Linked DNA regions of Kluyveromyces lactis. The protein of the gene in region 2 interacts with the protein of the main gene of each other region in a pairwise test. Links are inferred from orthologs where the notes say so. Each region holds a gene or a part of one and is shown on either strand. Other genes may lie near its edges. The genes, in order: HOF1, NBA1, CDC24 and BEM1.

Region 1 (4,673 bases), on a different chromosome or scaffold from region 2:
TGCTCGATTTATCGTAACAATACGAGTTACAGTTGCTAGGTCAATGACGAGACTTTTCCTATCCAAGTAGCTAATTCAAAGTATAAACTTGTTTATCTTCTATTACTTTTTGAATTTTTCAAATAATGAAAACAGTTATCTAGCTAACATTAGCCTACTCAATGATGAATATGACACGCGAAACATTGAAATTAGTTCTATGACACGCAAAAGACCATACGGAAAAGAGATTGATACATAATGGAACAGTCTATCAGGAGCATAGACGGTTCTAGATCTTTGAGCAATGTTGGCGCTTCACTTATAGATCGTGAATCGATCAATCAGAGAGCACTACAATTATTACAGAGAAACAGAAGAAGACGTTTGTTGTTAAATAGAAGTGAAGACAAAGCAAGATACATCCAGCCCGAGCGTTCTGCTAGCAGCCAGCAGATTCACCCTCCAGAGCATCATATCAGCGCACATGAAAGAATAACAAAGGCTCGGGGAACTAGATATAAACCTACTGACCTAGCTTTGGCAGAAATAAGGAAATATCAAAGATCCACAGATTTGCTTATATCCAGAATGCCCTTTGCGAGGCTAGTGAAAGAGGTAACAGATCAATTCACTACCGAGAGCGAACCTCTTCGATGGCAATCCATGGCAATTATGGCTCTTCAAGAAGCAAGTGAAGCCTACTTAGTCGGTTTATTAGAGCATACAAATCTATTGGCACTTCATGCTAAAAGAATTACAATTATGAGAAAGGACATGCAACTAGCTAGAAGGATACGAGGTCAATTTATTTGAAGCAATCCTTCCTATCATTTAAAGTACAGATTTATCTGCTCAGCTTCAATTTGCTAATAGTTTGATGTCTATTGGAAGAGCAGAAATTATATATAAGTATAGAACTTTATATTGGTTACATATGGTTACAAATTCATTATTTAACGGGTGAAAATGGTCAGAAAGGAAAGCGTCCAAGGTGAAAGTGATGTACATCAATTTATTACTTTCACGTAATTCATTGGTACCAGACCATGCTGTTTGTTACCTTGATATACCTCACCCACATACCAGTCATCATTTATGCATTCGACTAACAGCAGGATATCACCAGAATTGAAAAGTAGTATGTTATTTTCATTGGGTTCAGTGTACGAATACATCGCTTTGACATATTTTACGACTGGATTTTTCATGGAATCAACGATGGGTAGATTCAATTGTTCACCATCAATAGTCACACGTTTACAACGCATTATATTCAAAGAGTTGCTGAAAGGCAACACTGTTCTGCTCACAGTTAAGTTGCTAGAAGCACCAGAGCTCGTTCTTGATGTCATCGGACGATCATTCATTTCCAAGATTTCTAATGCTGTTTCGACATCCGATGCGATGGATTTTCTACGATTTGCAGTTGGTGGCTTCAGAGAGTTGTTATTGTCGTTGTCAGAAGTATCCGTATCCATTGTGGGCGAATACATTGATGAAGGTCTAGATTTTCTTCTATTGCGTGAATTCCAAGATTTAGCAAACCTTTGAGAGTCATCGACACTTGAGGCCATGGATGAGAGAGAAGTCGACATGGAATCATAACTTGCCTTATTTTTCCTATGAGTAAAGTCCGTTGGATTTGAAGAAGTCTCTTCTGAAGATTCTGATAATGTTGCTCCATGTCCTGGCTTTGTAACCACTTCTAAATAGTTTTCAACGGAATGCGGAGCAGAGTTATCATTTAGGACCTTCGATTCTATGGAATTAACAAGGGCAGCATCAGTTTTTGGAGTTGGCAACCCTTTATCGACACTTAATGCATTTATTGAATTGAGCCTGGTGTTCTTCAGCTGGGTTGATAGTCTTTTTATATTTTGAACATACCTATCATTCTTTGTTAAATCCAACGCCTTGTGAGAACTCTTCGGACGGATCACATTAGATGGGTTAGAGTTAGCACTTGAGTTGTGCGTTGAAACTGAGTTAGAGTTTTTCAACTTGATTCTTCCAGTACCATGGTGGTAAGAAAAGTGCGATATTTCAAGTTCAGGTGTGAAGCTGGAAAGTTTTTGTTTTAATTGTTCCATCAAAGAGAGTTCCAGTTCCGAAGGCTGGGTTGTAAAATCAGCGTATTGTTGTAGTAATTCCCTAGAGACCTGGATTCTTTGTGTTTCTAAACTTTGCAATTCTCCACTAATATGTCTCCATTCCTCAAACCAATGTGCTCTAGCAGCTTTACATTCATGATGTAAGACGGTTTTCCTACGGTGTGATTCTTCCACTATCGAAGACCATTTTTCCAATTCTCTCGCATTTTCTTTCCTTTGGTATTCGCCCAAGGCAGTTTCTTTGTTGAGCTGATACTCTCTCAGTTTATTCTCAGCACTGAGTAATTCTTGATCTATAGATTTCAAGGCTTTCTTCTTTTCATCTTTCAACTTCCTTAAGTTTTCCACGTTTCCCGTTATCGTTGACCATCTGGCTCTATATTGCTTTAAGAAATCACTCATCGTACCGACATTTTCCCTGTTGAGCCTCTCATATGCCTTAGAATGACCATTGGCTATTGTCTGCTGGGAGGATTGGAAATATTTTAAGGATTCAGACATATTATTGTAGTCCGCATATCGTTCGAGATTGTTCATTATTCTTGCACTGAGTGCTCCTAATCTTCTTGCATAATCCATCTCCAACTCACTTCTCTTAGTGAAACAATCGAGCAATAACTCACAGGTGCATATACCTCTTCCAACATGCTGAAGAAGAACGGTAACACCTTGATCGTCTTCGTCCCAGAAACTTTCTTGATAGTTGTATATTTGAGTCATTCAATCGATAGCTTTCCTTGCTAATACCTACTCTTTGTTATGCCCTCAACTTCCCTTCAATTGTAGATTGTTGAATGACAAAACAGATACCGTACATCTAACTTCAATCCTTGTGAATTGTTAACATACACCGAACAAAGTTTGGTGAGAGAGCCAGAACCATCCATCTCTACAACTGAATACAATCACTGTGATAGTGCTGTTCGATGATGTTTACATTATTCCTGATTGGGGAATAAGTTCAATCACGTGACTTATATTTTTGTTTGTTTATTGCAAAGCAAGTAATAATACCAAAAAGGGAAATTATGCTTAATTCTGTACCTCTATCATTTTTGTCTGTACCGGCCGTACAAGAACATGAAAAGAGAAAGCGAGGATAAATAGGAGAGCCTAAAATCCCCATAATCTCTGACGATTACCCTGGTATATGGACAGCACCGTCTAATGACTTGAGAGTCCAATTAAATTCCTGAATTAACCCATCGCAAAACTCTCTATGTCTCCTTTGTGATATGCTTTAGCTCCGCACGGGATTGCAATGAAATAATTAGCAAAAACGTCGTGAGTATTTTCTTCCTGCTAAGAACCATCAAAGAAGGTTCACAGAAAACAACGTACAAACTGTATATCAGGGTAACCAGCCGAGTTTTCCCCTGTTTTCATTACGACATTGTTCCCAAATTGAGACTATTTCTCTGCAACACAGTACATACAATGATACAATTCGTAATAGCAATCGTCCCCTTAAAAACGGCAAACAAAGATGACAACCAAGGCACCAGCTCAACAGCAAGGGTTCCAACTACACTGAGGGTATAAGTTTCTGCGGTACCTCAGCTTGGTTCCTTCCTTTTTTATTCTCAATTATTCTGGCCAGTTTTTTTTCGCCAGGAGTCCCTAAAAAGTCACTCTAGCCAATTTTTTTTTCTTTTAAGTTTATTTACTTTGCAATATCAAGAAATTATATATCCTTAATTATAGGGTTTCTAATCAACAATTCACTTTAGCATATATTCGCTTCGTTGCTTTATTATAAAACAAACGTGAATTCAAGTGTATTTCGTTCGTAATTACAAGTAAAGGTTTATCATAGTTACGTTTACTCCCACTAGAAAGAAGAGTTAATACTAAACTTCTCAAAAAACGGGCAAAGGATAAGCAAATTACTGATATCGAAATCAGAACGTGAACCAAGTCCTATTGTGTTTTACAAATTTGAGAGGAACATAAACCAAAAAACTACACTACTTGGTCGCTCAATTGTACGAGTCTAAGGAACACTTTCGCTTTTTACTTTGAATTATTAGTAGCTAAGAAAATACCCAGATATATTACCAGAAACAGAATGTCTTTAGTTTCTGCGGTAACTGGCGACGAATCCAGGGATACTAATGGTGCAGAACAAAGTTCTGTTTACCAGAGTGCCGGTAAACCATTATCCAAGGAGGCTCTATACAGAGCAAAATTGAAGTACGGTGTGTTCCAGTCTCCAGCTCAGTCTCTGAAGGCCGGCGTGGTTAATGGTAAGGATGCTTCAGATACTGCTGCCAATTTGGCAACGAGCAACAAGACCACCATCGAAGCCTACAAAAGGTTATTGAATCCAAATGCTTCGAAGGCAGCTAATGCGGTCATTACTCCAAAGAAAACTGACCAATCCAGACCAGCCAGTGCTGTAGTTTCGTCTGCTGCGTCTTCTGCTGCAATTGCTGCTCCCAAGGCTGCTAGGTCTAGGACCTCTAGTACAGCAAGTACTACTGTAACCTATGTCAATTCCAGTTCTTCTTCGCCATTGCACTCTAAGACACCAAAGATGGATATTACTAAAGTTTTGGCGGGTGCTGAAAGAAACGCTGC
Region 2 (4,467 bases):
GATTCAAATGTGGGGCTAGTGCGTGTTCCAATGCTACTCTCAACTTCTCTTTTTCTGCCACTAGTTGAATGGCTTTCTCTATGCCGGATAATCGCACATTTTGATAACTGGTCGCCGATATTGGTAAATCTCTTATATCATGATCACTAAGCCTGAAACTGGAATGGGGTAGCGGTGTCTGGCTATCAGAATCTTTATCCGTCTCCATTATCCCTGTCCATGATGGTGATTTATCAGAGAAGACGATCTGTTTATTGAAAAACACTGGATTCAATAACCTGTTCATCGCCTCTTTATCCGGGTTCTTTTTCTGTTTGATCTCTTCTATCACCTCAGAAATGGTATTATGTTCTTCAATAGCATCTGCGGTGCTGCTGACATGCTTCTGCCCCAGTTTACAGCTCTGTGAAAGTAGTCTTCTTGTGGCTCTTGTTGTTACATTATGGAGATGAGCTTTAAATAAAAGAGATGAGTTCATTCTGGCAGCATTCAACATATCGTAAACCACCTCTGTCCTTAGATTGGCTCCTTATACAAGCTTAAACGACTGGTATCAACACTGTGAGAGACAATAGATTGAACCGTAGGCATCTTTTGCAACGTCTTTTATTAATCAAAGCCAGTGTTTCCTTCTTTGATTTAAGAATTTTTCTTTCAATACTTATTACATTTGGTATATATTGATTCTTTACTGATAACGTTAATACAAAACTGAGAAGAGAAAAAGCACAAAAAATTCGTATCAAAACCCATCAAGGGCTTTAGTAGCTCTTTCAAGTCTTCTTAAACCTTCTTGGTACTTTTCTGGATCCAGAACCATATCTGCAGTCAATCTAGAGAGAGAATCGACCAATCTTTCAAGAGCTCTTTTCTCTTCGATCTTCATACCAAGGTTAGAGAATTCTGACCCTATCAGGGTTCCCTTTGTAACATTCAATAGTTGTGAGATAGTATCTATATCGAAGGATCTTAGTTCTTTGTTGTGTTTGGATCCGATTTTTTTGGTTTGATTGTGGCTTTGGTTTTGGCCTTGACGTTGGTGAGATTTGGATCTGGTCTTCGAATGGCCTTTCTTGGGAGCCTTTGGCAGCTTACTTTGTGGAGTCCTTACTGATGAGGCAGCTTTAGTGGAATCAGCACCTTTCTCTACTATGTCCTCGTAATCATCATCATCTTCTGGATCTTTTACATTGCACACTGCCTGGTCATTCGGTTGTTGTGTGATTTGGTTCTCTGGGGTCTCCAATCTTGACGATGATGAGCTTGGAATAGAAGGTAGTGGCCTAGTAGTGTATCCATCCTCCTGTGGTCCCATGGTATCATCTTGCTCAGTAGCAGAGAAGAAACTTTCAGATCTCACACTGCTTTGTCTTGAATGTCTCTCACTCCGGCTTGCACTGGCACTGTGACCTTTCCCCATCTCCTTTGCAAGTTGATTCTGAATATCATCTAAACTTTCCTTGATAAATATATGTGACTTGGGCCTTCTTGCGCTTCTTGGTGGTACTGTTGGATGTAAGTCTGATATGATTTCAAGTTCTGGTTCAGCACCAGCGGTCTTCTTACTGTTAACTTGAGTTTCTAGTGGTGGTAATATACTCGAAGCAATTGATTTGATTTCGGATACCTGAGATATATCTTGCTGGCTTGGAGCCTGTGATATGTTTAGTGGTGTAGTGTCCGAAATTGCTTCTGTGACATTGACCTTGGGGATGTTATTATAATCAGAAACTGGAGTTTGTTGTTGCTCATCGTACGATTCCTCTTTAATTGTCGTCGTTTCAAGTTGAGATAGATGTTGACAGTCACCACTGTTACCAGTAGCACCATATTGCGAGGTATGGTCCAAATTTACCATGCTGGATCCCGAATTACTTGTGGCAGATGCGTTATAGGAATGTCCACTTTCGCTTGCTAGATTACCTGATGCGATTGATGAAGGGACCTTCTGATGGGACATCTCCATAGATACAAGTTTTAATGAGTTGTTTTTCTCTAAAGTAGGAGTCGTATCTGTTTCAGCTGGTTGCCCAATCTGTTCTTTCTTTAACGAAACCTGAGGTTCTTCCGTATCAATAGAGTTTCCTACTGGTTTTGTTGTTAATTCAGACAATGCATCTGCTGATGCAGCTGACCATTCGCTCTTAGTAGGGAAGGGCGGTAAAGCTGGCTCTTCAAAATTCTCCTTCTTCACAGCGGTAGTACTGTTATTTTTGACTATATAGGAGACTGGAACACCTTCATGGACAGTGCCTGAATAAGCCGATATTATGCTTTCTCTGTTTCCTGGCGATTGACCGTTTAATTGTAAACGATTCCCATCTGGAGAAGGCTGAGGGGACCCATACGTATTGAAGAATGCCACATTTTGATCGTTAGATGTATATGACAATTGTGGAGATGCCCTTTCAGCAGAATCTATTCCCTTGCTTGGCATATATATTTCATCATCCAAACTCTCATGTAAGCTGTAATTCTCGATCATAGCAGAAAGTCTGTTGTAATTAGGGTTGTTGCTAGCGCTTGGTGGCCTAACTGCACTCTCCAATGGCTCTTTACTCATTGTATTTGTCCAAGATAGTGCTTCTGGTTGTAGTATTTCCCTTCTTTCCAGATCAACTGTTATTGATACCTGGGATAGTATCCTCTAAAATAGACTTGTTTCCAAAGAATTCCCTCAACAACAAGCAATTTCAAAAATAAATGTATCTACCTCAATAAGTAGATGGTTGTTAGTTGCTACAATTACTATACTGGGTTGACAAACCTCTAACCTGCGTTTAGATCAAAGATTCTTACAGTCAGTAAGGTGTTGATGTTTTGATTTCACTGTTGATCTGAATTCCAGATCAGGAAAGATAGTAAACACTTAGTATTTGAAGGTCAGGTGACAAGAATTGAAGAAAATGGAAGTAGACAATAAATAGGTGTTTACATTAGTACCGCACCTTGATGCGCGTGTGTATACAATGATATAAATGCATACGTATTAAATAGTGTTTCGAACTTAGTTCATAATGTACATTAGTTGCTCTTAGGGCCAATTCGTTTCAATTCATCTTGGAACTTTCTGTAAACATTAAAATCGAACTTGGCAAAGTTGTAATCGAGGTCTATGAAAACTTTTGATATTTGACAGCTCTTGTAGTAGTAATTGAGGAAATTACTGGAGTATGGGTCCACTGATGGACCATAGAATTCTATCGGAACTGGTTCATGGCTGTAATGATTATTTTTGAAATTTTTGTAGAAGGTTGTGAACAAACCAGTGACGATGGGTGTATCATCCTCTACGTCGGAATGCTTTTTGGGTCCGCCAAAAGAGCTTGAGTTATTGTTGCTGTCGTTGTTACTGTTTGTTTCATGGTTCTTGAAATGCGATGGGAATAACCCTTGGAACATTTCAAATGCTGCCAAGGTGAAACCGAACTGTGGGGAACTTCTCAACACACGAGCCGGTCCACCTTTGAAAAATGATTTGATGCTTTCCTCTTTCAAGATCGTTCTTGCTGCATGGATTACACCTGTATACGTTGTTTCTCCCTTCCTGGGATCGATTTGTAATCTGGTCTTAATCACATCAAAAGGAGTGGTCAAATAAGCTGCTGGCATACCTGCGATCCCACCAGCCAAGAGGAGTTCCCAGGTTTTGAGTTTGTTTCTCTTGTTTTTATCATTTGGATCAAAATTAAATACATCCTTCTTTAAATGAGCATATGTTGGGAAATATATGGCGGAGAATGGGACGTCTCTCAGTAAGCATGCTGCGGCACCTTTGTAGAGACCGCGAAGGCCCAATTGCCTTATAATTCCTACTGCACCTAATTGTGGCCTTGCATTTTCACCGACGTAATCTGATCTCATTTGTAATCTGATCTTTACGATTTCCAATGGATTTGTAAACACAACTTGGCAAGCACCAGCGGTGGCGCCTGAAAGGATTTCTTGGTACCATTTAATCGTACGAGACTTGTTCATGAAATACTGTCTCATGAAATCGTTCACTGTCAATTTGATAGCTTTTTCGGGGGCTACACCGATTAACTGTGGGCCTAGACCAGAGTAAAGACCTCTAATACCCTTAGTTTGGAAGATTTTCACAACACAATCAATGGAGTTTTTGTACTGTACACTGTTACGTTGCGCTTGCATTCTTGTCTTTACCAGGTCAATAGGGTACACGACAGTGGCGCCGATGCACCCAGCTATGGAGCCTAACGTAAAGTTATGAATCGAATCAAAGATCGGGTAGAAATAGAAGTTAGAGTACCATGATTCCGATCTAATTCTCTTCAACTCCATGGAATGCACAATATCGTTCAAATAGTTAGGGTTCAAGATTTTCATAAAGTCTTCCATAGTAAGGTTACGACTCTCGGCAGTATCCTTTGGAGTCTTACTTGCCCAAAGACGATCCAATAATGAGACTCTTTGGCTTTGCTTCCTTTCGTTATGTTCTTGTAACGA
Region 3 (5,171 bases), on a different chromosome or scaffold from region 2:
TAGAGTCTTACGAGACCGCATTCAAAGAGTCATGGATATATGAAGAGCTTTATGAAGTGCGTAATATTAGGCCTTCATTCGGAGCAACACCACTAGGGGGTTTCGGTGGTATGGCATACTCAGGTGTTGATTCTTACATACTCAAAGGCAGAGTTCCATGGACGTTCCATCACCATGCATCAGATGCTGCTATAACAGCATCTGCAGATAAATACAAACCCATAGATTATCCAAAACCCGATGGAAAGATTACCTTTGATATCTTAACATCAGTATCAAGAACTGGAACGTATCACGATGATGACGAAAAATGCCATTTAAGAGTCCCTGAGCAAGATATGGAAAAACATACTAGTATTGCGTATCCAAAATGGAAGGGAATCGAATCAAGATTTTGTCCAGCTGGTGTTTATGAGTATGTTGAAGACGAAACCTCCCCATTGGGTGTGAAATTCCAGATTAACTCACAAAATTGTATTCATTGTAAAACCTGTGACATCAAGGTTCCAACTCAGGACATTAATTGGGAAGTTCCTGAGGGAGGTGATGGTCCAAAGTACACACTTACCTGAGTTTGTTAAATTAGTCAGAGTAAAATTTGGCCTGAAATATTTATTTATCTAATATAATTTATTTATTCATATCTGTAAAATATGATTTTCATTAATAACTGAACTTATATTAAATCAACCAAGTGAACCTGTCAAACTGGAATTGTCTTCATTTACCTTTGAAAAACGCCAAAAAGTGAAATCTATGTATAATACAATCAAAGGTAAAATATTATTAATATGTCTCAGTTTGTATAAGCCCAAACGTTCAATAGTCTTTCATTACTCTCTTTCAGCATATCTTTTACAACATACCAATCATCATCACTTTCCAACATCACAAAATCACCATCTTCATCCTGGTATTTTACCTTCGTGATTACTCCTAAATGTGCCAATTTCCTTTTAATCGCAAGCAACAGATCTTCCGCAGAACAGTCTAAGGATACTAAGACTGTGTAAAAATCGTTGTTGAATGAGACCCTCAGTAGAAGCATAGTGTCAGGGATTGAATTTTTGTAACTTTCGGATATAGATCTGTATTCGCTTGCAAATGACTGACGGGCATTGGACATATGGCTTTTGGGAAGGACTTCTGAGATTTGTCTGGTCAGAGTGCTACCAATGGAGGCAACACTGTTGTGAGAATATTGGACTGGTGAGGAGAATGACGACATATCGCTATTCGTATTGACACTTTTATAGGACTCGCTGCGAATTTGACGAAGAAGCTGATGAAGGCAGCTTTCCCAGTTGTTGCGGGTTTCTTCATTTTTGAATTTTAGTATGAAGTTCCCCTTTTCCTTGGCTGATTCCCAAATAATGTTCAGGGAATAGTTATCAATCGGAGCGACTTGAGTCAGGTTAACTATCATAATTCGACCTCTTAAATCCAGTTTCCCAGTGTTCTTCGTGAAATCATTCATGTTAGTGTTCGAAGAGTTTGAAAGATGAAGAACAGATGATGAATTCGATTTCTTTTTTAAACTTATTGAGCTTCCTTTCTTCTGGCTTACCTCACTGAATAATAGTATGATTTTTTCGAATAGATACACTTCAAAATCTTTTTCTGGCTCATTGGAATTGCTCGTTGATATTGATATTCTATCAAAGTACAATAACTCACCAAACTTAGCGATGCGGTAACCCTTCCAATTTACCACACGACCATAGAGACGTTTGACAACCTCGTAATTTTCTGTTCTCCTTTGATTTTCGTTAATATTCCTTGCAATGGATTTGGCAATACCCAAGGCAATCTCCAATTCTTTAGAATCACTTTCTGCGTGTTGTAAAAGATCTTTGAGAAGTAATGGGTATCTACACAATCTTTGGACTGGTTTGAGAAGGAATGATTGCAGTTCCATTTTATTACCGATGACAAAATTAGTGCTATTTGGGTTCATTTTGTTGAAACTAGACGAAATGAAATCAATCGCTGCATTTTGACCTATGGACCAAGGTTCATATAGCTTGAAGAAATATTTGGAATGCATGAATAAGGCCCCGATTCTTTGTTTTTGAGATGGAACTTGACCGTTGACTTCTAATGACACTAAAAACCGTCTTTGGAAATCGATTATGTCATTCAAATTGGGGAACAGCATGTACAGTTCTTCCGAGTTGATAATTTGGTTGTCTAAAAGTTGCTTCCTATACTTATTCAGAACTTCTAGATCATGCACGTACTTTCTCTCAGTCTCGATGAATTCTTTGACAATTTTATCATATTCTGTCTGTGGTTTCGCAAGACGTTGAGATTCCAACTGTGTGCTCATATCAATTTGTGGGAATACTTCAGGTGCAGCATTCAGCAACGTATTCACAACGTCCAAAACTTTCAAGAAATGATCTGTCGAATTTGAAAAAACGTCAGAAATGGTGAACAGTTCTTCGTCATTAAATGCAAAATGTTGTTTCAGACCAAGAATGAAGTCGTAGATAGATTTTTTACAAATCTTAATATCATCTGACGAGACCACCGTTAGCTTAGATTGAGGTCTTACGGCATTGAATATAATACAAAGTGGCGAACCCTGTTGAAATAGTTTAGAAAGTTGCGTTACAGGGTCACAATCGACAGATATAGGCGTAATACCAACAGAAAAAGTCAGTAAAGTGTCCTCCATATTAAAGGACTGAGAATGCTCAGAGTCCTCTCCAAAACTCGTAGCCGAGAAACTAGAGTCCCTATGAAGAGTACTTGAGGAGGAAAGTCTACCATTTGTACTTTGTGCACTACTACCTTCGTAATGCGAACCTCGCTGCCGATGTTGCTGCTGTGACTGCTGTTTCTGCGATAAAAGCAGGGCTTGGTGTTCTGCTAGAATCTCTGAACTCGAATGCGCTAAATTCAAATATGGTTGGAGCTGTGGCAGAAACTCTAATCTCTTCTTGATCATTAAACACATATGATATAATGACTCCTGTGCTGTCACCTTTTTGTTCATTAATAAATGTGTGCTATTTGAACGCACACTCGTCAGCGAAACATTGGATACTGATGGATTTACCGCCATTATGGCAGGCTGCAACTAAAACAGAATTATTCTCTGACACTCCTAGATAGTAAAAACCTTGTTTGTACAGCTCTGGAAGACTTACAACGATAAGAATTATTTTAACTTCACTTCGAAGACACTGGCTGTTTCGTTAATTTCAGTATTGTTTTATTCTATTCTTTTTTTTTTTTTCTTTCAAGAGTAATGTCAATACTGAGATCTCTGGGTCAAAACCTTTGGGGCCCGAAAACATTGTTGTGGATCAAATTCTGGAGGTTCTTTTTATATAGGAGATACTTCTCAGTGGTATTTAAGAGTATAACACCAATTAGCGGCACTTGCCAGGTGTCGTGTAATAATCCTACATATCTGGCATTGAATATTGATATACGCTAGAGTTTCGTTCTATAACTGGAAAATAAGAATTACAAGTGTCAAACTCACACATAACTTCTATATATGTACTTTTATAGAACAGTAGTACAATTTCTCTTTCTATCTATCTTTGCTTAAGAGCTCTTCTTACCCCAAATAGATTTTTGTGCTCTGTATGTGATTTTGTCAATGACAGTACCAACTGCCAAGACACCACCAATACTTGTGATACAATTCAAAAGGAAACCAGACCATGATGTTGCATGCTGTTCTTTATTTATGACTTTTAAAGGCGACATCTCAAAATTGAAGAAAACACCTGGGACACCTCCTTTAGAATGAACAGTGTTTGGATGGTCTTCGTCCCTGCCCCCTCTTAGAGGCCTATCGTGGTACGTGGCGCTGAATTGAGTAGTTTCAACTTTTTTACCATCTAAGAATTCGAATCTGGTAGGAATGATCTTGCAGAAGTATGAGAACTCATGGAAGTGTGTGTCGCGGTCTGGGAACACTTGGCGGCTGTCTAATGGTGAAATTGAAGCAGAACCGATCAATTCGCTGTCTCCATCCTTGGGTTTCTCTCCAAACGTCAAGGTGTTGATTATATGGTTGAAGTTCAAATGTGGGTATGCATCGTATAGCGAAGTGTCGTGGAAATGGCCACGGATATTACGCATTGAACTACCTGGACCGAAGTGGATGGTACCTTGTATTCTGTTTAATTGAGCACGTCCTTGAACACGACAACCTTCATGTATTCTGGCATTGATGCTCTCAACATATCCTTCACGTTCACATTGTTCCACACCTTTACCATCCTTGAATGCCCATCCTTTTTGTCCGTAGGCTGCACGCACATCGTCACAAGTTTGACAGCATACTTTTTGATCTTGTGGTAGCTCGTCATTCTTTGATTGGTCTAATGCACCATAACATGGTCCACAGTATCCTTCTTCGTTGAAGCTTTGCTTTGATGATTTGTCACCAACTTGGAACTTCTCCTTAGAGAGTTCCTTCCCTTCTGGGCTAATTCTGATCTTCGTGAATCCCGAATCTAATAGGTTAATCTGAAATTCCCCAGAATCGTCTAATATATCTAGATTTAATACGTTACATGGCATCGAAGGAAATGTCACATCCAAGTTGAGATCCAACTTCAAATGACGGTCTCTATCAACCACGAGATCAGGTCTAGTGACAATAGTGCTGAATTGCTTCCATTCGCTCACCAATAACAACATCGTTATAATGATACATGACACCGTGATTAATCCACCTGTTCGTGTACGGACACGGACATCCTCCTCTGTTTTACCAAAAGCATCGATGGAAAGTAACGGCGATTTCTTCATCTTGACAAATTTGTGTAGACAGATACTTGCGTTAGCGAATTCTCCGTGAGTAGTGTAGTATTTCCGTATCCTAAACCTATTCTATTCCTATGAGCATGTGTAATTGTGAATGCTAGTATATGTCAAATTGGAATTGATTTTGATATTTTTTCACTTTTGCCTATATTCAAAATCAGATTGAGAAGCAACCTAACCTGTACCAAATATACATGAATACTGACAACTGTATATACACACACTGACCATTCGGTGTGAGGTCCAATGTCAGGTTGAATAGTAGTTGATAAACTGTAAGTTTGATTGATATATACTGATTTACATGTTATTATATAAAATTAAGCTTTGATTAGCAATAAAAGTTGAATAAAATTGCGTTGATGCTTCGTGTTAAC
Region 4 (4,801 bases), about 890 kb from region 2:
CACGATGTATTCTTTACCAGTACCACAGCTAATAAACGCGGATTTGGCTCAAATGATTTCTGATAATCAAACAGATCAAATCAGCGGGTATTCGTGTTTATGTTGTAAGTTGAACGCGATTATCGCAAATGAAAAGAATAGAAATTACCAAAACAATTCTGATGAAGAAAACCAGATTTTGAAGGAGTTGGAAGAGTTATTGCCCAAAGCATTTATTAACGATGATTTGGCTAGGAACTTAAGTACTTACATTAACTCTTACGAGAAAGGTGGTATCAAGACGTCAGAAATCAAATCCACCATTGTCAAGAAAACTGTGGTTGTTGATTCGCCAGATGTTTTGATTCTTCACTTGTCGCGTTCGGTTTTCGACGGGATGGGATATCAAAAGAACACCTGCAATGTTTCTTTCGAAGAAGAATTGGTAGTCAACCGCCAAGTTATTGAAAACAATAAATGTGTTGGCATCAGAAAGGATTCATATAAGTTAAGGTCGATGTTGAGGCATCAAGGTTCTCATTCTACCGGTCACTATGAATGTTTCAGACACAAACCAGAGTTTATGAAAGACATTGATACACATCAAGTCATTAGCAAGACACCAATGGTGGACTTCGGTATTGCGTCGAATAAACTTGCAGCTGAAATCTGGAATCAGGCCGTTCTGAACTCCTCTAACAAATCCGATTCTTGTTCAATCGGCTCGGAAGATTCAATCTCCTCTAACGTGCCATTCAGATCTGTTTTCCTGGACTCACCAAACTCTGCGATTGTTACTGATGATGATTACGTTATTGGAAGCTCAGAGTTCTCTAACGACGCAGATAATAAGGGCCAAAACAACAACAGTGGTTCTGGAGTTTCAAGGACGCCATCCACTTTGAAAAGAGTCACTGGTTTCCTTTCGAGAAAGAGTTCTGTCTCGGCAGCACCGGATAATAACAATACTAGCAATATACTACCTGAAATTAGCAGTTCACCCATGGCTTCATCATCTTCAGAACATAGAAACCGCGCAAGATTTAACAGTGTCTCTTCTATGACGACTGACCGCAACGCTTCGATATTATCTAGTAATGCTAGTATCGACTCTTACAGTACAGATCAAGTTACTAATACAAGTGCTACCGAAGTGGAAACTGAAACAGATTATGACGGTATTTCAATGAATGTCAACAAGAAGACAAAGAAAAGAAGATTAAAGAAATTGAAAAGTGTGGTGAAATACCCATGGTGGAGAATATCTGATACTAAAGTTAAAGAATATAAAACTTCAGATATTTTATCAGAAACTAAATTCGTTTATATGTTGTACTATGAGAGGGTACCAGTAGTCTAACCTGGTCAGTAAGCAAATACTGGAACCAACATAACAACAACCAAAAGAATAAGAAAAAATAGAAACATAGACATATTTTACTAAATTGCACAAGCGGCACCTCACCGCTCCGAATCATTCATCCTTTGTCAATTAACTCATCGATTTATGATGACCACAGGCCATGTATTACTCGATTAATTAGTTTTAGCACTTTTACGTTAACCTTATATACATATACTGTACGATCTTTAAATTTCAGATCATGTGACCTCTAAAACCCTTCTAGAATGAAATTCTTCCTTTCCTTCTGCGGGTTGATGAAGCGAGATGAAAAAGGATTGACATGAATAAAGAGACGAGTTTCAGGAATTCATAATAACAGAGTTGATAGACGAAAGCTGCAACACAAAGGCAAAGGCAGTCAATAGTGGGAAAATGTTGAAGGTATGTAATAATGCGCGTGGTATTGTCTTATGTTTGGCAATTTTGACGTAGTAGCGGAGGATTTCTGACTTTGTTAGAGGCTGGAAAATTTTTCTTTACTGAAAGAAGGTAACCACATGAATATTGCAACGTGAAGGCAAAATACTAACATATACTATGATCATTGGTTGGTGATTAAATTGAACCAATTATCTAATTTCTGGAAATTTTTGGAATAGAATTTCAAATTGAAGAAAGACAGTGTGAAACAGCGCATAACTTCTGCGGATATTTCCGGACCTACTCAAAGTCCAGGGAGCTCAGTGCAAAACGTAAAGACCATTCCTATCAGGCAATTATCTACATCATCACAGCTATCTTCGGGGTTTACAAGTGGAAAATCAAAAGATATCTCGTCTCCAGAAAAAGTAATCAAAGCGTTATACAATTACCAGGCACAATCAGCCGGTGAATTATCATTCAATAAGGGAGACTTTTTCCATGTTCAGCAAGAGGAGAACGATTGGTATGAGGCCTCCAATCCGGCGGACGGCAAGAGAGGCATGGTTCCTAAGAATTATTTCGAGATTTTTGGCAGAACAAGGCCAAATTCGCATGCATCACCGGTGAAAAGTATAAATAGAAATGGATCTGTCGGTAGTAATCAGTTATTACAGCATCATCAGCAGCAACAGCAGCAACAGCAGCAACAACAACCTTCCAATATGGGAACTCTTTATGCAATTGTACTGTATGATTTTCAAGCAGAAAAGGCAGATGAGTTAACAGCCTATGCCGGAGAAAACTTGTTCATTTGTGCTCATCACGATTTTGAATGGTTTATCGCTAAGCCCATTGGCAGGTTGGGTGGTCCCGGTCTAGTTCCTGTTGGTTTTGTGACTATTATAGATATAGCTACTGGTTATGCCACGGGAAATGATGTAAAAAGCGATATCGAATCAGTGAATCTACCCTCGGTCCAAGAATGGAAGATCAATATCGCCCGTTACAAGGCTAGCAATATCACACTAGGTTCAGTGGAACAGCAGGGTCAGTCGTACGTGCAACACCGATCACAATCCAGGCAAAATTCACAAAACCGTCAACCACACCCCAGCACGCAGCACTCGAGCGCTGCCAATACAACCTATCCTGCTGATGCCGTTTTCCTTACCTACGCTGCAGTCGAGACATTTTTCCTACAGGACGATAAGTATTGGTTCCAAGTCTCGTGTCAGTTATCCAACAACACCACGCGTATTTTGAAGCGTTATTATGAAGATTTCTATGATTTACAAGTAAAGCTACTCGATATCTTCCCTGCAGAAGGGGGTAAACTAAGAGACACTAATGGTCAGTGGACGAAACGTATAATGCCATATATACCGGGTCCAGTTCCGTATGTGACAGATACCATTTCAAAAAAGAGAAAAGATGACCTAAATATATACGTGAAGGATTTGATTTCCCTACCGCCGCATATATCACAATCACATCTGGTCAAGGGTTTGTTTGCCGTTAAAAATAATGGTTTTGACCGTGAGATTAGTAATGATGAAACTGTGGAGCTTGACGTAAAAGGTAGGGCTGATGATTCAACTCTGACTAACCAAGAACTACAACTTCCAGAGGCAATGAAGAGACTGTCTCTGATTAATAGCGCTTCCAATGCCAGTGCTAAAGTCAAATCAAGGCCGCCTAGTGGTTTCGCTCCGAGAATAACTGATGAAAAGCCTGTCAAGATCAAATTTTATTACAAAGATGACATATTCGCCTTGATGCTGCATCCTACCATTACTTTTGAAGAATTGTGCAGTAAAATAGCACCTAGAATTGACGCAGATTCTTTTAAGTTGTACATCAAAAACGGAGATGATATTGGCACTCAAGTCACTACTGATGCAGAAGTACCGGTTCTAATTCAAGAGAAACGCAAGATCTTTGTCGATGACAGCTAAGTTATTTGTTGCAAAATTTTATCGTCATAATAAATAATACAAAAAGAACCCCAAGGTGGTCAAAATTCAATTTCTATCCACTGATGGCTTTCATGCTTATCATAATGATGTACTGTACATCGCATTGTAATACTTCAACATAATTTTGACATTAACACTCTTATATTCTTTCACATTAATTCAGTTCAACAAGTAAAAATCAGTTGTTTACATACTCTCTCTATAGGTGTTAATACTTCTATCAAAATGATAATAATACTTCACAAACATGTCTAAGGACTATTCATCCAGCTCTATGTCCATGTCTGCATCCGCGTACGGATCTGTATCGAGATCCATGTCAATGTCCATGTCCGCATTGTGATCAAACTCATCATTTCTATGCATGAGATTCGGTGCCAGATCAACTCTGGAATCTGCTGCAGTCTCAACATTCATATCTACTTCATCTAATTTTGGACTATGCTGTTGGTACCATTTTACCCACAAGCTTGCTACCACAGATCGCCAGTCATACCATTTTATTACCTGCGAGTTAAACTGTCGTACATGATCGAATATTCTTTCATATATCTTATCATTTTTGTTTGAACCACTCAATTCGCGTTCAACTACATCCCACATCCTTTTATTTACAACTGCTTTGAATGAGTTCAACCCTGAATCAATTTTATGTTTCTTTATCCCATCGGTTCCCCTAGGAGCCAACGATAGGTTTTCGAAATCATATATTAGCCGTTGTTTCTTATAGTTATCGATTCCTATCGGGTCAGGACTCCTTGACCTCTTCATCTTGAAGCCTGATGACATTGTATAGCTAATACCTTGCTCATTCGCAGTGAACTATTCTAAGCAGATGATCTGTTCGCTGCTACTTTTGTAGGTGTTGTTTCGTTTGTCCTAATTTATCTTATGGCCAACCGAGAACTTTCTGGAAGCTTAAAATGAAGATCATTAGAAATGTTTGTAAATTCACCCGTTAAGAAAGTTTCGTAGATGAAGCTGATACTACAGGTACTGGTTATCTTTTTCTTGTTAGATATCTCTTGATCGAGCCTTCAATATTGCCTTTAATATGCTTTTTTTCTTTTGTTTCTTC

Evidence for each region.
Region 1: the proteins of NBA1 (region 2) and HOF1 interact in a two-hybrid assay, tested with the Saccharomyces cerevisiae proteins (2 studies listed by BioGRID, with this or other methods). The link is inferred for Kluyveromyces lactis from reciprocal best matches to the Saccharomyces cerevisiae genes NBA1 and HOF1.
Region 3: the proteins of NBA1 (region 2) and CDC24 interact in binary tests that used the Saccharomyces cerevisiae proteins (3 or more experiments, as listed by UniProt). The link is inferred for Kluyveromyces lactis from reciprocal best matches to the Saccharomyces cerevisiae genes NBA1 and CDC24.
Region 4: the proteins of NBA1 (region 2) and BEM1 interact in binary tests that used the Saccharomyces cerevisiae proteins (3 or more experiments, as listed by UniProt). The link is inferred for Kluyveromyces lactis from reciprocal best matches to the Saccharomyces cerevisiae genes NBA1 and BEM1.

The regions. Positions count from the first base shown.
Region 1 is NC_006039.1:1,064,604-1,069,276, forward strand, and holds HOF1 (formin-binding protein HOF1), read right to left. Parts: upstream 2,814-4,673; coding exon 990-2,813; downstream 1-989. Other genes in the region: centromeric DNA-binding histone H3-like protein CSE4, read left to right, coding at 241-795; LPX2 (Lpx2p), read left to right, coding at 4,162-4,673. UniProt on the Saccharomyces cerevisiae protein: Throughout most of the cell cycle it forms a double ring that coincides with the septins. After the onset of mitosis, forms a ring-like structure which colocalizes with the medial actin ring. Mediates cytoskeletal rearrangements required for cytokinesis.
Region 2 is NC_006041.1:1,181,782-1,186,248, forward strand, and holds NBA1 (Nba1p), read right to left. Parts: upstream 2,564-4,467; coding exon 743-2,563; downstream 1-742. Other genes in the region: MTF2 (Mtf2p), read right to left, coding at 1-496; AGC1 (citrin), read right to left, coding at 3,025-4,467.
Region 3 is NC_006039.1:1,096,530-1,101,700, reverse strand, and holds CDC24 (Rho family guanine nucleotide exchange factor CDC24), read right to left. Parts: upstream 3,071-5,171; coding exon 797-3,070; downstream 1-796. Other genes in the region: CIR2 (electron-transferring-flavoprotein dehydrogenase), read left to right, coding at 1-572; retrograde cargo receptor ERV46, read right to left, coding at 3,562-4,779. UniProt on the Saccharomyces cerevisiae protein: Promotes the exchange of CDC42-bound GDP by GTP. Controls the polarity of calmodulin, and the calcium regulatory process of bud emergence. CDC24 may be involved in the initial selection and organization of the budding site.
Region 4 is NC_006041.1:2,075,943-2,080,743, reverse strand, and holds BEM1 (phosphatidylinositol-3-phosphate-binding protein BEM1), read left to right. Parts: upstream 1-1,756; coding exon 1,757-1,765; intron 1,766-1,983; coding exon 1,984-3,702; downstream 3,703-4,801. Other genes in the region: putative ubiquitin-specific protease UBP16, read left to right, coding at 1-1,339; KLLA0_E23343g (uncharacterized protein), read right to left, coding at 3,982-4,512.